Macaca mulatta: one gene and its partners. The protein of the gene in region 1 interacts with the protein of each later gene in a pairwise test. Links are inferred from orthologs where the notes say so. Each region holds a gene or a part of one and is shown on either strand. Other genes may lie near its edges.

Region 1 (3,646 bases):
GATTAGTCCCAGCTTCAAATGGGAGGAAGTTGAGGCACAGACATTAAGTCATTTACCTGGAGTCACAGACAGAGCTGGCATCTGACCCCCAGCCAGTTGACTTCTTGGCCCAGCTCCTAATCCTGCCCCAAGTGACAGGCGGTAGGTAGCCTGGCCCCTAGTGGATTATCAGCGAAAACGATGGCTGCTGAGGGCTCTGGGGCAGGCATGGGCAGGTTTCCAATAGCCAGGGCATCCCCACCCCCAGGCAGCTGCCTTGTTGGCCTTTTGGGAACAGAAATGTCTGGGTGTCCATCATCAGCACACCTCTCTTCCTCTGTTTCCACACCTTCCACCTGGCCAGGAAAACAGGCTGTCCAAACAGCACCTCTGCAAGGGGACCCAGGGAGAGCCTATTGTATCTGGAGCAGAGCTGGGCAGGAGGTGGTGAGCAGGGACTCTGGGGCCTCCTAGACCCTTCGCAGAGGGAACCGGAGATGCCAGAAAGGGTCCAGACTATCTTGGGAGCCGGAGCCTTTCAGCCTCAGTCAGGCTGAAAAGCACAGCCCACAGTAGCCCTGTGCACCTCAGGCCAGATCAAGGGAGCCTGGGGGCCAGGTAGCCTTGGGTTCAAGGGCAACTCCCCCACGTCCTGTCTGCAGGGTCTTGGGAGTCACTTCCCCTCTCTGAGTCTTGGTTCCCTCATCAACAGCCTGGGGCTAGGCTGCTTTCATGGCCGAGTGAATAAGCCATAGAAAGCATCAACCTAGTGGTCACCCTTTCATAAGTGGTGGCCCCAGCATCTGTGCCCCTCTTTCCCACCTGCTCATCCTTTGCCTGTCACTCCATCTCAGCCTAGATTTTAGGATCCAAATGTTGCCACATTTGGGCTCTTAAGTTTGCAATGACTTCATGCTTTATTCATCAGACTTTCACCAAACCCTGCCCGCCACCTGCTGTGCCAGGCCCCATGAGCCCTCTTCCCTCTCCTGCCTGCTGGGTTAAGCTCTGTACTCCTTACACAGGGCCGGGGGTGAGTGTGTGACTCCACCCTGGAGAAGCTCACTGTCTAGGCCTGTAGCTGACTGCAGTCCGCTCACTCTGCCAGGCGCAGGGCTAAGCCCAGGCCTCACCTTGCTATGCCCTCCCCTCTGGTCTGCCAGGCAGGCCTTGGTACCATCTCTGTCCTCCACACAGGGAAACTGGGCTCAAAGAGGTTAGGTGGCTTTGCCAGAGCCCCCAAGCCAGAAGGGGGCAGAGAGACAGGACTGGAGTCCAAGCCCTTCTGAGGCCAGAGCCGAAAGGCTGCAGGGGGCCTTGCTCCTGGGCGGGCTGTGGGTGGCCAGGGCATGGCTGATTGCTCCCCTTGCCACAGGTCACCATTGGTATGTTCCTGCTCTCTGGAGACCCCTGCTTCAAGACGTGAGTGCTGGCACAGGCCTAGGGGGCGGATGGGAGCCCAGTCCTGGGCACTGGGGGTGGAGGAACAGGGACTCTTGGTGTCCTCCGTTTTCGTCTGGTCCTGAAGCGGGGCACCCTAGTCACACCTGTCTGTCTTCCCAAGGCCACCATCTACTGCCAAGTCCATCTCCATCCCAGGCCAGGATTCCTCCCTGCAGCTGACATGTAAGGGTGGCGGGACCAGCAGTGGTGGCAGCAGCACCAACTCCTTGACTGGGTCCCGGGCCCCCAAGGCCCGGCCCACCATTCTCAGCTCAGGTACAGTTCCTCATCTGCCCGCGCCTCCCCTGCTAGTGGCCCAAGGGCTTTACCTCCATGTCATGCCCAGGTCCCCAGGGAGATGCTGACTGAGGGGAAGGTGATGGTGGGAGGGTGTTTGCATGCTCCTGCTGGGCTGATGACATCTGAGTACCTTGTGTGTGCTGGCTATGCTGCTGGGCCCTGAGATCACAGCAGTGCCCTGGACTGAGACTGATGTGGCCTCCCCATCCTCATGGCCCTGCAGTCTAGCAGGAGAAACAGGCCTCAGCCAAGTCATAGGTAAATGACATGCATGTCTACCTGCAAACAGGGTAAGAGCTGGGGAAGACAGGCCCAGAAGGTGGGATCCATCCGGGGCCAGGGAAGGCTTCCCTGAGGATGTGGTGTCTGAGCTGCATTCGGAGGGTGAGGCACAGTATACCTGGCAGAGGGACGTGCTGGGACCTCTTGCTCTCCCACGTGCTCTATGACCTTGACTGGCCAGTTTGCCTCTCCCTGTCTCGGTGTTCTCTGGAAAATGGGATTGGTAATAGCAGTTACATCCCAGGTCACTTTGGGGATTAACTGTCCACATGTGGGCACCTGCCCCGCACATGGTAAGCACTCAGTGGGCACTCTGGTTTTTGTTTTTGTTTTTTTAGACAGAGTCTCACTCTGTCACTAGGCTGGAGTGCAGTGGTGCAATCTCGGCTCACTGCAACCTCCGCCTCCCGGGTTCAAGCATTTCTCCTGCCTCAGCCTCCGGAGTAGCTGGGACTACAGGCGAGCACCACCATGCCCAGCTAATTTTTTTTTTTTTTTTTTGTATTTTTAGTAGAGACAGGATTTCACCGTATTAGCCAGGATGGTAGCCAGGATGGTCTTGCTGTCCTGGTCTCGTGATCTGTCTGCCTCGGCCTCCCAAAATGCTGGGATTACAGGCGTGAGCCACCACGCCTGGCCGGGCACTCTGTTTTTATTAAATTATCACTGGTAATAATGTTATGAAAAATGTGAAAGAGCCCCAACCCCCAGAGGAGATGGCGTGGCAATTAGGAGGAGGGGGTGCTGCCCGGACAGGAGGCTCTGGCCTGCCCCCAGGTGTTTGTTTGCTGGGCCCCCTCAACCCTAAGCAGGGCCCCCAGAGGTATGAGCCTTGGACCACCCCCAGGTGATTAGTGAACAAGGCATCAGGTGGCAACCCTGATTGTCCCACAGAATCAGTTAGAGCACAGGCCTCGTGTGGCCCAGCAGATGCTTGCCAAGTGATTCTGCCTCTGTGAACTGGGAGCGGTGAGGGACCCTCTGACCTCAAGGGTCTGGCCTTCCTTCACTCCCTCTTCCCCTGCAGACCCAGCCAGCTGAGGCCCGGAACAGAAAGCTGGGGGCTTCCCAGCACAATTACTCTCTCCAGCCCCTGGATGGGAGTCCCCAGAAGAGACATGTATCTGGGGATCAGACCACCCCAGCGCAGGTGGTACCTTCGTGTGAAGTAGAAGAGGCCCCTCCCCCAGGCAGGGTGGGACTTGAGTGCCCACTTGCCTCTGGAGCTGGGCTCACCCCATATGCAGAGAACCTGTTGGGGACTTGAAAAGCCACATAGTTATGGATGGGCACACAGGCCAGCCTGGGGTATCACAGGCCAGCCTGGGGTGTGTTGGGCAGGAGGGCGGGTGGGTACTCAGAGCCCTGGGTAGGTCCCACCTGGTCCCTTATGCCTCCTGTTGGGGAGTGCCAGGAAAATCTGTTTTGAAGTTGGACTTATGGGTAACTTGGGACAGGACTGTGGGCCTGTCCCTTTGGGCCAGCCTGCTCCCCTTCACCCTGTCCCTTCCACTCCAACTCTGCTGACCCAGGCCCCTTCCAGCCTCGGGGCCTCTGCCAATGCTGTTCTCTGTGCCTGGAAGGCCCTTGCCCTCCTGAGGCCTTAGCTGGCTCCCTCCAGCGATATGTCCTGGAGGTCTGC
Region 2 (3,027 bases), on another chromosome or scaffold:
GCCTCGCAGCCCACACCTACCTGGCCATCCTATCCCAGCCTCGCGGGCTAAGCTGACCATGCTCAACACGGTGTCCAAGATCCGGGGCCAGGTGAAGAACCCCGGCTACCCACAGTCGGAGGGGCTCCTGGGCGAGTGCATGATCCGCCACGGGAAGGAGCTGGGCGGCGAGTCCAACTTTGGTGAGTGGTGCTCTCTGGAAGCCACGCCCACCCTCCCTGGAGGCCACGCCTCAACACAGGCAGGGCAGGTGCAGGTCCAGGTCCAGCCGATGGGGCCCTTTCCTGTAGCTCCAGACCTTCCCCAGCTCAAGCCAGCTGGTTCCCCAGAGTCTGGACGCGCCGCCCCCCCCCCCCCCCCCCCCCCCGCCAGCATCTATCCTTCCACCACCTTCAGCCTGTTAAGGGCAAACCTAGGCCCTTTTAGGAGCGTGGGGAGGGGGCTGGTTTAACATCCAGTATTGATTGGGATTTTAGGATCCTTTGTTTTGTTCTGAGTTCCAATTTCCAGGCCCTTGGCCTGGAGTGTGGGGGCTGTTAGAAGTTGGGATGGGGCTGAGTGCAGTGACTCATGCCTGTAATCCCAACACTCTGGGAGGCCAAGGCAGGTGGATCACCTGAGGTTGGGAATTCAAGACCAGCCTGACCAATATAGAGAAACCCCACCCTGCCTCTACTAAAAAAACATATATATATATATATATATATATATATATATGTATATATGTGTATACATATATATGTGTATATATATACATATATATGTGTGTATATATATATATATGATATAATTAGCCGGGTGTGGTAGCGCATGCCTGTAACCCCAGCTACTCAGGAGGCTGAGGCAGGAGAATCACTTGAACCCAGGAGGTGGAGGTTGCAGTAGCCCAGATTGTACTATCGCACTCCAGCCTGGGCTACAAGAGCTAAACTCCATCTAAAAGAAAAAAAAAGGCTGGGCGCGGTGGCTTACACCTGTAATCCCAGAACTTTGGGAGGCCGAGGCGAGTGGATCACGAGGTCAGGAGTTGGAGCCCAGCCTGGTCAATATGGTGAAACCTCATCTCTACTAAAAATACAAAAATTAGCTGGGTGTGGTGGTGCACACCTGTAATCCCACCTACTCAGGAGGCTGAGACAGGAGAATCACTTGAACCTGGGAGGCAGAGGTTTGAGTGAGCAGAGATCGCGCCACTGCACTAAGTGGCGCGAGACTTCGTCTCAAAAAAAGACGTTGGAAAGGATCCGGGTGTGGTGGTGCACGCCTGTGGCCCCAGCTACTTGGGAGGCTGAGGTGCCAGCATGGCTTGAGCCCAGTTCGAGGCTGCAGTGAGCTGGGACAGCGCCACTGTGTTCCAGCCTGCGAAACCCTGTTTCAAAAACAAAGGCTGAGGAGTGTCTTAGTCCAGTGGTCTCAGGCCCGGCTTCTCCCCAGGCGACGCATTGCTGGATGCCGGCGAATCCATGAAGCGCCTGGCAGAGGTGAAGGACTCCCTGGACATAGAGGTCAAGCAGAACTTCATTGACCCCCTCCAGAACCTGTGTGAGAAAGACCTGAAGGAGATCCAGGTGCTGCTGCTGCGCCAGCCCAGGGCCTATCCCTTCCCCCTGCTGGATGGGGCAGCCCCATTCCTGCCACCCTTGGCACTGCCCTCTGGGTCGCGGGCAGGTGGGATCCCCAGTGGTGCAGGGACAGTGGGTCAGGGCCATGCATCGGGCAGGTCTCTGGCCGCTGCTGGCCTGACCCATGTCCCCCACTATCTCCAGCACCACCTGAAGAAGCTGGAGGGCCGCCGCCTGGACTTTGACTACAAGAAGAAGCGGCAGGGCAAGATCCCTGATGAGGAGCTACGCCAGGCACTGGAGAAGTTCGAGGAGTCCAAGGAGGTGGCAGAAACCAGCATGCACAACCTCCTGGAGACCGACGTGAGTAGCTGGGGCTGCCACGTCCTGACAAGCCCCATGCCCTTGGGAGGCCGGAGGCGGCAGTGACCTGGCCTCTGCAGCAGGGGAGGTTGAGGGTACAGGCCCCAGTCCCCTGTCCCCTTTCGGCCCCCTTGCCTCCTGTGGCTTCACCTCGTGAGTCAGGGAAGGCACAGGACAGTGGTGCTGGCAGGAGCCCCTGAGCCCTGTTGTCCCCACAGATCGAGCAGGTGAGTCAGCTCTCGGCCCTGGTGGACGCACAGCTGGACTACCACCGGCAGGCCGTGCAGATCCTGGATGAGCTGGCCGAGAAGCTCAAGCGCAGGTGAGCCTGGGCTGCCATGGGCCTCTGCCAGCACGCGTGGGCAGCACACCTCACTCTGGGGTGAGCGCATGGCATGGCAGAGCAGCATCCTGGATTCTTCCTGGGGACCAAGTGGAATGGCCTGGGGGGCCACAAGGTTGAAGGAGGAGGAACCCGGTCTGTGAGAACTCTGAGTCAACACGCAGCCCTGCCCCAGATGCAGGCCCTGGCGACTCCTAACCACGTGCCTGTTCCTTCCCTGGCTGCACTTTCTGCTGCCACAGGAACACCCAGGCTCCCTTCCCTGAACAGAGGCCAGACCTGCTTTGGGGGCCTAGGCATGTGTCAGGCACCAGCTGTGGTAGGGAATGGGGGGTGGAGGTGGGGGGATGCGACTGGGGGCGTTGTAGGTAGAGGCCGTGGCAGGACCCAGCTGCTTGGCAGTCTCTGAGATGGCTCCAAGGTGGGGGTCCAGGCTGGAGGCCCTCTGGGTAGACATCCCAGTCTAGCTGTGTCCCAGGGTCCATGTGTCACGACCCCACTGACAGCCTCTTCCTGCAGTCCTAGGCTAGGTTACTAGGCAGCAGCATAAATACAGGGGTGGGGCTGCCTCAGCGGTGACACTCACGGGCTCGGGCCACTCACATCTCTCCCTTCACAGGATGCGGGAAGCTTCGTCACGCCCCAGGCGGGAGTATAAGCCCAAGCCCCGGGAGCCCTTTGACCTCGGAGAGCCTGAGCAGTCCAACGGGGGCTTCCCCTGCACCACAGCCCCCAAGATCGCAGGTAACCGGACATGGA
Region 3 (4,272 bases), on another chromosome or scaffold:
GCTCTTGCCCCATCTCCTAGGTTGAGTCCATCATTATTCCCCTTATAGCTGTTGTAAAAACCATTTTACCCACTTTCCTTGTGTCTTTTCTTACCACTCCTAATCTTTTCTACATATTCTGTAGGTTGAGTCTGAGAATAGAAACGCCACTTTTTACTAAGAAGGAAAACAGCAGAGGTGGAGATGTGTGAGGCCACATACTATACCGGAGCTCCCGTTAGGTCATTCCCAATCTAAAAAATTGTCAATGGCTCCCCAGTGCCCACTCAATTAAGTTCAACTTTCCTATTCTGACTTTCAATTCCCTTAACAGTAGAGCTGCAGTTTATCTTGACAACCATAGTCTTCCTACAACATCCAGTAAAAGAGGGCTACTAACTAGTCCTCAAGCTGGTAAGGGCTCTTCCTTCTTTCTTTACTCTGGTCCTTCCACCTGGAAAGTCCTCCTGCCCCTTCAAAGTCTGGTGTGTTTTTCAGAGCCCATCTCAAACACCACATGCACCTTTGAACACTCACAAGCATACTGGCACTTCCTTTTTTTTTTTTTTTTTTTTGCTTTTTTAAGAGACAGGGTCTTGCTCTGTTGCCCAGGCTGCAGTACACTAGGGTGATCATAGTTGGCTGTAACCTCAGACTCCTGTGCTCAAGTGATTCTCCTGCCTCAGCCTCCCAAAGTGCTGTGATTACAGGTGTGAGCCACAATGCCTGGCCTCTTCCCTCCTTTTCTTGTATTCAACTCCCTTCTTTTATCAACCGTAGCACTTTATACCTTTTTCATGGCAGTGGACCTATTGTACTTTAAAAAACCTCTTCATTTTGAGAGAATTGTAGATTCACAGAGAGTTTAAGAAATAATAATAATAAGATGAAATAATAATAGAGGAATTTCGTCTATCTTTACCCAGTTTCCCCCAAGGGTAACATCTGGTAATATTACAGTACCATGTTACAACCAGGAGACTGACACCAAGTGTCCCTTGAATGAGACTGTGATTTTGTCCTTCACTTTCCTCCCTTCCGCAGCTCTTGGAGGGAAAGGGCTCTGTTCTCCTCTCCCTCAGCTTTCTCCCTGAGTTACCCCTTACTTTCCTCAGGGCCTTTCCAGCCTGAGGGAGAACAGCACAGTTCGGTTTCCTGTGTCCCTTGCTGCCACGCTGCCGCGATTCTCCCAAATGGTGGTGTCCTTATATTGCTTATTGGGAATTAATCATTTCCTTTCAACATTGTGGCTTCCCTAAGAGCGAAGTTTTGCCCTCTTTTCTGGAGATGGAGATGTGAACTGGACAGGCAATTGAGAGGTGCTATGCTTGACGGGAATTGGATTCTGCCTCTCGGCACCCTACTTCAGGCACCCCGCGGTCTTTCAAATCTGCCACCGTGAGTTCATCTGTTCGGTGCTTAGGATGGAGTCTTCAAAGCCGTGGGTCCTTTGAGCCTTTTGAAGTCTTCTGTTTTGGTGGGTGCTGGAGGGGCGCACCTTTGGCCTCGCATGGTGCGGTGCTTCTGGCACCCCCAATCCTTCTACCGCGGGGCCCCGGGCGTGAGCGCCACGTGCGCCCACACCCCGCGCCCCTTCCCGGGTCCCCGCCTGTCGCCCGCGCCACTTCCTGAAGCGCCCCGGGACCCACAGCCCCGCCCCGCGGCCGGGCTGGGCGGGCGGCGACCGCGGCTGAGGTACAGGTGCCTCGCGGCGCAGCCGGGTCGCCTTCCAGCCGGTCCGCCTCGCGACCAGGGCCCGCGCCCCCTCCCGCCTCGCACACCGGTCTCTCTCCCGCCCAGCCAAATGCAGGCCGCCGGCCTCCCTGAGGAGATCCGTTGGCTCCTGGAAGGTAACGCCCTGGCGCAAGCCCCCTTAAGTGCTGAGCCGAAGGCAGAAAGGCGACTCCAGGCCTCCCACAGCCAGGCTTTCTTTTCAGCTTCCTCACTCACCTCCTTCTAGAACCTTAAGGCTTCTAGAGGCCTCAGCTCCCCAGAGCCATCTTTCCATCCTCTCAACTCAGGGCCCCTTTCACTCCCTGGAGTCCCACATCTTCCTTTTCCTTGAGGCACCTCCAGGCCTCCACTTCACCTCCCCGGCTTCTAAAGTCCTCAGGCCAGGTTCTTGGTCTCCCATGCCACCTTGCCTGGTCTTCGACCTGTCCCTTTCTCCGAATAACTGCTCTACATCTGTAGGGTTTCCCGTCCCCCTCCTTCCCCAGACACGACTTCCTCACCTGTCACAGAAGACCCCAAACCTTCCTGCTTAGAGGTCCGCGAGGCTCTCCAGGGGGCTGCGAGGGGCTCATGGGATCCCCATGGGCCAAGGCCAGGTGGTTGACGTGAGTTTTTGTCAGTGCGAAAACCCCAGCCCTCCCTTTATCACCCTGCGGACGTCTAGGGGGTCTCACCCACCCCAAGGCAGGCTCATTCTCAGTATGGGATTTCCTCCTTTTCTAGAAGTGCCCCCATTGTGGTGTGTTCACCTTCCGACTACAGTGTCTAAGCGATGGTTTAAAGAGTTCCGGCCATCCCCATCAACACTCAGCACACACTGCCGACACTCCAGAGAGATGTCTCAGAGACGTTGCTAAAGGGCAGTTTCATCTGCTGGGTTTCATGGTGAAAGTCACTTTTACTTGCTTTCCTGTAACTAACCTTCCAGAGAGGACAGAGGCCTGGAATCTGCAGTTGCATAAGGGTTCCAGGAGAAAACTATTCAGAATTAAGCCTTTTGGCATCTAAGTTGACGTATTTGACACATATTTAACAGATGGCCTGCTTTGGGCAGGTCACACTTTTGGCAAGCAGTATTTTTTTTTTTCAGTTTCTCTCAATTTAATTGGTTTTATATCTCCATTACCTTGTTATCTCGGTATAAATGCCTCCTAATCAAATATTTGGCAAGTCCTTTTGGTCTCTGTTGGTAGCACTGTTTCCATTCTGGATTGCTTCTATGTAAAAGCTGTCAACTAGATATTTCTTTTGAGGTGAGGTTTCCAAAATCCATTTTACTTATGATCAGAATAAATCTAAATTTTGGGGGTGGAAAACTATTTGCAGGGTAAAGGAGCATTATCTAAGTGTCTAAGAAGAAGCAATCCAGCCTTTCCCTCTGTTGTTGGTTTAATATTAGGCTTGTGAAGGAAGGCTGTAATTGTCTTTGGTTTCTAGGAGAGAAAGAACTGTGGCGAAAAGTTTAACTCTGCCCTTGCATTGAAAGATATAAAGTGGTTCTTTTTATTGGTATCTGTCATTTGATGAGAGGAAACCTATTTTATAAGCTTGTTAAACTATACTTCAGTTTTGTGTCTAGCCTTGGTAGAAAATTCCTTTTTATTTTCAGAGGCTTGCAATGAAATCCATTCCTTCAGCATTTTTGATGTGCAGTTCTTTATTGTTCAAAACTGACACTTTGGTAAACAACTCATTTCTGCACCTGCCACCTTCCTTTAGCTTAGATTATTTTCTTGTTAGCTGACTGTTTTTAATTGAAGTCTTCAGATCTCCTTCTAAAGCAGAACCTTTGTTTGCTGACAAGTAGAGCAGGGTATGAATGGAGATTAATTGCATGTCACATACTTCTGTATCAAGCTTGCTGTGTCTTAACAATCTCTGTTGGTGCTCAGGTCTTTAAAATATATGGAGGAGTCTGAAACCAAATTATAAGGAGCTTCGTTGGTTAATGTATTTCTTTAAGGCTTTTTTTTTTTTTTAGTTTGCAATTAGAACTTGAACTGAAGTAGAGAAAAAAATGTAGTGTGATTCATCCAGTGATTCTAATGAAAAATGTTTGAAGAATATGTTTTTGAAAGGTTCCTGTAATAATAATAGCAACATATTGGTTACAAGTTTTATTTCTTATGGAACATAGTCCCTGGTGTAGACCGGGAGCATTATTCATTGTGTTACAAATAATCTGTCGATATTAGAAGCCCACAATGGCCATCAATTTGTTGTTTGTTGCTATTTGTCTCCCCCACCACACACTTTTTAAGGGTAACTGTTGACAATTAGAAAAAATGGAGGTCCTGATCTCTATATAGTCACTCTGTGGGAGGGAAACACAGGATGTGAGGGCTGCAACTCTAGTGCTGCCACATGGCTGTGGGGGTGGAATTTCCATAATGAATTACTACTTTCATAAACCAAGGCATAAGCATTGGCACAGTGATTTAACACTGGACATCACAGCTATAACTTAAGCATTTATTTGTTTATAACTACACAAGCATAAATGACAGAGGGGCATTTTTTGACATAATGTGTGTGCTTTTAAGAATAAAATATGTAAAG

What was found.
Region 2: the proteins of EEIG1 (region 1) and SH3GL1 interact in binary tests that used the Homo sapiens proteins (3 or more experiments, as listed by UniProt). The two-hybrid records come from large-scale screens. The link is inferred for Macaca mulatta from reciprocal best matches to the Homo sapiens genes EEIG1 and SH3GL1.
Region 3: the proteins of EEIG1 (region 1) and SKAP1 interact in binary tests that used the Homo sapiens proteins (3 or more experiments, as listed by UniProt). The two-hybrid records come from large-scale screens. The link is inferred for Macaca mulatta from reciprocal best matches to the Homo sapiens genes EEIG1 and SKAP1.

The regions. Positions count from the first base shown.
Region 1 is NC_133420.1:19,748,266-19,751,911, forward strand, and holds part of EEIG1 (early estrogen-induced gene 1 protein), read left to right. Parts: intron 1-1,354; coding exon 1,355-1,401; intron 1,402-1,543; coding exon 1,544-1,698; coding exon of another isoform or gene 1,699-1,733; intron 1,734-3,646. UniProt on the Homo sapiens protein: Key component of TNFSF11/RANKL- and TNF-induced osteoclastogenesis pathways, thereby mediates bone resorption in pathological bone loss conditions.
Region 2 is NC_133424.1:5,192,366-5,195,392, reverse strand, and holds part of SH3GL1 (endophilin-A2), read left to right. Parts: coding exon of another isoform or gene 1-38; coding exon 39-182; intron 183-862; exon of another isoform or gene 863-1,434; coding exon 1,435-1,568; intron 1,569-1,766; coding exon 1,767-1,925; intron 1,926-2,143; coding exon 2,144-2,247; intron 2,248-2,887; coding exon 2,888-3,012; intron 3,013-3,027. UniProt on the Homo sapiens protein: Implicated in endocytosis. May recruit other proteins to membranes with high curvature.
Region 3 is NC_133421.1:61,581,202-61,585,473, forward strand, and holds the start of SKAP1 (src kinase-associated phosphoprotein 1), read left to right. Parts: upstream 1-1,382; 5' UTR 1,383-1,489; coding exon 1,490-1,829; intron 1,830-4,272. UniProt on the Homo sapiens protein: Positively regulates T-cell receptor signaling by enhancing the MAP kinase pathway. Required for optimal conjugation between T-cells and antigen-presenting cells by promoting the clustering of integrin ITGAL on the surface of T-cells.